Kluyveromyces lactis: one gene and its partner. Each later gene encodes a partner of the first gene's protein in a complex. Links are inferred from orthologs where the notes say so. Each region holds a gene or a part of one and is shown on either strand. Other genes may lie near its edges. The genes, in order: RPP1A and RPL38.

Region 1 (2,510 bases):
TGTACAAAAATGGAGCAGAATGTCCAATATGTTTCCTCTACTTTCCTAAGCCTTTGAATATTTCCAGATGTTGCAAGCAACCGATCTGTACTGAATGCTTCGTCCAAATCAAGCGTGCCGCACCACACTTCCCGCATGAAGAGGTAGATCCAACTCAAGATCAAGAACCGGACGAATTGAAGGATCCCAACCTTCTTGTCAGTGAACCTGCCAATTGCCCTTACTGTGCCACTGCAGAGTTTGGTGTAACATACGAACCGCGCAGGGACGTGCGGACTGGAATCAACGGGATCTACGCTTCCGAATACAAGATTGCCGAATACAAGGACCGTGAAGGCCTAGTATCGGATTCTAGCAGCAATGAAGATGACGAACTCGTAACTATAGAACAAATTCGTAGGGGCTCAATAGCAGCCGATGATCCGTCTGTGATAACATCCGATTCTATAAGACCTGACTGGGAGATCAATCTAACCAAAGAAAGATTAAGACTCGCTAGAAGATCAGCAAAAGCTACTGCAATACACATGAGTAATCAATTAATTGATCCCGAACACCCTTCTAGACACGCATCCATTTCTTCTTCAGTTGGAGGCCCTGACGGAGGGAATAGTCCTCAACGTCGTCAGAAAACATTAGAAGAACTGGATGACGAAATGCTCCAACAAGCAATCAAACTAAGTTTGCAGGATCATTAACCTAATTTGGAGCTTATTTCATGAACTGAAAGCATTTTCTCCTGCACTGCTGTCTCCTTCATTACCTTCACGACTAACGACAGATACAATCAACACATTCGCAAATTACTTCACTTTGCATGCATCTTTTAACAATCCCATAACTTTCGCATCATACCTTAAGATACAAGGTACACTCATCAGTAACACTGCGCGCGAGTATATATATGTTTATAAAACATAGAATATTATGTGGAATATAGCACCCATCTGCGGACTCACTCCGACTCAATATCAGGGATTCTCCCTTGTACATCTACGCTGACTCTGTACATCCAGCGTTTCATGCAGAAACATTATATCACATCACACGAATTATCATGCCTGACGAAACCACGCAGCTTTTCCTGAAATTTTTCACCTTTCCACGATGAGATGTGAAATATCAATAAAACTTACAGGAGTAACCATTTAACATTTCGATAGGAAAAGTATTTGTTTTACACATGATGGCATTTGTTCAATTTGAAGCTTCTTTTATGAAATATTCTTATTACTTATATCGTTTTATTATTTAGTTTCTCTTATTTTCAAAGGACCAAAGAAATAGTCTGCTTCATTACGAGCTTAATCTGATTATCTCTACACTTGCCAGAACCAGGAAATTTTACATTAGAAATGTCTGTTGAAACTGCTTTGTCTTACGCTGCTTTGATCTTGGCTGATGCTGATATCGAAGTCTCTTCTGAAAAGTTGTTGGCTTTGACTGAAGCTGCCAACGTCCCAGTTGAAGGTATCTGGGCTGATATCTTTGCTAAGGCTTTGGCTAAGCAAAACATCAAGGACTTGTTGGTCAAGTTCGAAGCTGGTGCTGGTGGTGCTGCTCCAGTTGCTACTGGTGGTGCTGCTGCCGGTGCCGAAGAAGCTGCTGCTGAAGAAAAGGAAGAAGAAGCCAAGGAAGAATCCGATGATGACATGGGTTTCGGTTTGTTCGATTAAATTAGGTTAACTTTTAACATAGGAGGAATAAATTCTGTTTTTATTACTAGCGCATTAAGCTACTACTTACTACGTTAAATTTGAGAATCAAATAACACATCATTTGAGTGTATACACAAATATGTATATATAATCAACCGTTTTTAATACACAAACGTCCAATCTTCAAAGCATCTCATCACTAGTGACACTTTGAAATATAAGTAGGATCGTATAAGGTTCCATAATATCATTAGACAAATTGATAATCTGATAATTTGAATTAGATGTAAAATATTATAGTTTATACGTTTTTTTACACGGTAGACAATGTCTCATAATTACCAAACAGGAAACTTATTGAGAAAGGGGATGCGGTGACATTAATTCTTAATGACGGAAAGATAATTTGATTAAAAGATATTTATAAAATAAAACAACGTTTTGTCTAGTATTTGAATAAAAGGTATGGAGTTGCTTATTTCTTCTTTTCAGCTTCAGCTTCAGCCTTGTCCTTAGCTCTCTTTTCTCTGATACCCTTGTATCTCTTGTCGGATCTAGCCAATCTCAAAGTTCTGTAAGCAGATTCACCGTTGTCTTCAACAGCTCTGGTTTCAGAGTCAGTAACTGGTTGGACAATTGGGAAAGAGGCAGCAGCAGACAAAGTTTGTTCAGCTTCTGGAGCCTTACCCTTTCTTGGGAAGACGATGATCTTAGATTGGTATTCCTTCAATCTTTGGATGTTCAAGTCCAAGATTTCTTGGTTTCTGTTTTGACGTCTGTGGTCGACAGCAATACCAATGGTTCTGGCGTAAGCAGGAGTCAAACCAGCAGCCTTAATTTCAGCCAAGGTGA
Region 2 (2,516 bases), on another chromosome or scaffold:
AAGGATACGGAAGGTGATTCTGATGCCAGTTCTGAAGAACAGGGAGATCAGAATAAAACAACAGACGATAACTCTGAAGTGATAGAAGAAAGTCCGAATGAGAATTTCCAACGTTCAACAGACACATCTGGAGATCTTAAATCCAGGGTCACCGAATCAAATCTTGCATCTTCCGACGATACTCCAAGGTAGCATTTCACAGCGAAGTATGCCTGTCCCCTGAGTTTCCAACTCGTATCGAATAGCGTGCTTAAAGCACACCTATATACTCATATATACCAAAAACAAATAAAAAAAATAGATGAGATAATAATCATGCAGTGATAATGACGATATAACAGAGCTTGTACTAATAATACCAGGGAAAATTCATACTGTGTATAACCTCAGTCATTTTTCCTTGTGAAGCCCAAAATAAAACTTTAAAAGCTCGCAAAGACAATTAACACAGGTAAAAAAAACCTACCACTGGACGCTTAATACAAGCTGTATTATCATCATTAGAGTAGTAATCTTATCGTCTCATCAATGAAAGAATGCAGATAAAAAGTATGCGTTTATTATAACTTATTTGACGAGTTTGTTCATTTCAATCTGGATGGTTCGTTCCTCAGGTAAAAATTGCCAGTACAAAGTGCTGGTAATTAAATCAATTCAAATTCAATTTAAATTCAATTCAATAAGAGTACTTACCCCACACCATGGGTTGAAACAGACGATTGGTGGAATTTCCAAAAAAAACAGTTGATATGGTATTAAAGAAAGTATTAGTGTCTCTCTAGACTACCCTTACAACTTGTTAACGTTGAAAGTTGGTGGCAAAGATTGCAACAATTTCTTGGCCTTACCAGCATCGTTAACAATCAAGGTGTACAAGTATCTGGAACCTCTTAGCTTGAACTTGGTTTGTCTGAAAGCCTTACCGTTCTTGTTCAACTTCTTGTTGATCTTGACGGTAGCAGAGTTGACATCTTGTCTTCTGATCAATTCCAAGAATTCCTTAATATCAGCGATTTCCTTAGCCATTTTTGTTAATGTACTTCCTAGTTGTTGATGCTTGGAGATTCACAGAAACTATTAAGACAAAAGAGTTAATAAACTGTAATTAAAAGTTATAAAGAATACTAAACAAGAACCGATAATACAATGTAAAAAACGCTAAACATCAAAAAAACACTAAATGGACATATACAAAACACCACTATTAACGACAAATGTTAAAATCTAAAACGTTAAAACTGTCGAAAGTTGTTCGAAACTAAACGTTTACTGGCTTGCCAATTGCACAATACTCAATGAGCACAGTCGATGAGATTGGTGAAAAGTTTAGTTGATGGTGTGTGGGTGTCAGGAGGTTGGCTTTTAGAGATTTTTTGGGTTTCTTTGAGTATTATACTACCCAATTGAGAATTTTCTCGTTTTGTATCCGGATGTGTGGGTTTTTATTTTTCAGTGTTTGGAGTGTATGGGTGTTATTTTAACAATGGACAGTCCTTTGTTAATCACGTGATTTGAATTCTTTAATCCTACTATTGGTTCAGGTCACAAGAATACATCACAGGACTAGACATGCCAGCATCATGAATAAGATATCCATTCATTTACTAGATAACCGGTGGGGCATGATTATGTGTATATATATATATATATATATATATATATACTATGTTTGAAGGGTTCTACAACACATCCTCCATTTCCACGTCTTCCAAGTCTTCCTCCTCTTGCTCGTTCTCCTGTTGTTGTTGTTGATCAAATTGGTCTTGAATCTGCTGCTGTTGTTCTGGATCAGCGTGTTGTGCCAATTCACCAAGCGTAGCAGCTCTTTCAGCTTCCTTCAACTTTTTATATTCCGATTTTAAAGTATATTTCAAGGCATACGGACCCTTTTTCACAAGCATAGCAACTTGATCTAGCGATTCCTTTAAATATGCTTCTGGTTGTCTTGTTCTCTCCTTCAAACCTTTCAAGGACCAATAATCGTATTCATCAAACAACTTGAACAATAGATCCAAAAGTTCCTTCTTTGGCAAACGGATAGCCCTTGCGTTGTTCTTCTTTTCCTTTCCAACTTTTAAGAACTTGGAAGTGTCGGATCTCATCGACATACCGGCGTTACTCATAGTGACACCAGGAGTTTGGTCAAGCACCGTAACCGTTGGTTTGTGGATGTTTCTAACGATTTGTCTTCTATGTTCCACAATTGTATGGTAATTTGGATCGTCTATCGAGGGCATCACTTGACATTCGTGGTACACTTTCCCCGTCACTGCAGTTTTCTTCGGAATAGTCTTCACGTACGGGATGTATCTATCTCTACCGTCCCTATCCGTCATGACACGGTGCTGAAACCTTCTCTTGTTGTACTTACGCTTCATCTGCTGCTGTTTTTTCTTCATCTCTTCCTCTCTTTCTTGTTTCCTTATGTATGCCTGTCTTTGCAACTCGGGGTTCGACTCCAATTCCTTGGCAAACTGCTGATATTTCTTCAAATTTTGTTCAGTGAATACGTACTC

Evidence for each region.
Region 2: RPP1A (region 1) and RPL38 share a complex: the UniProt entries of both Saccharomyces cerevisiae proteins name them as parts of the large ribosomal subunit. The link is inferred for Kluyveromyces lactis from reciprocal best matches to the Saccharomyces cerevisiae genes RPP1A and RPL38.

Annotation. Positions count from the first base shown.
Region 1 is NC_006041.1:1,966,481-1,968,990, reverse strand, and holds RPP1A (ribosomal protein P1), read left to right. Parts: upstream 1-1,355; coding exon 1,356-1,676; downstream 1,677-2,510. Other genes in the region: SIP5 (Sip5p), read left to right, coding at 1-698; KLLA0_E22001g (60S ribosomal protein eL13), read right to left, coding at 2,134-2,510. UniProt on the Saccharomyces cerevisiae protein: Component of the ribosome, a large ribonucleoprotein complex responsible for the synthesis of proteins in the cell.
Region 2 is NC_006039.1:1,609,052-1,611,567, reverse strand, and holds RPL38 (60S ribosomal protein eL38), read right to left. Parts: upstream 1,027-2,516; coding exon 790-1,026; downstream 1-789. Other genes in the region: KLLA0_C18238g (PEX28-32 family peroxisomal membrane protein), read left to right, coding at 1-192; transcription factor IIF subunit TFG2, read right to left, coding at 1,680-2,516. UniProt on the Saccharomyces cerevisiae protein: Component of the ribosome, a large ribonucleoprotein complex responsible for the synthesis of proteins in the cell.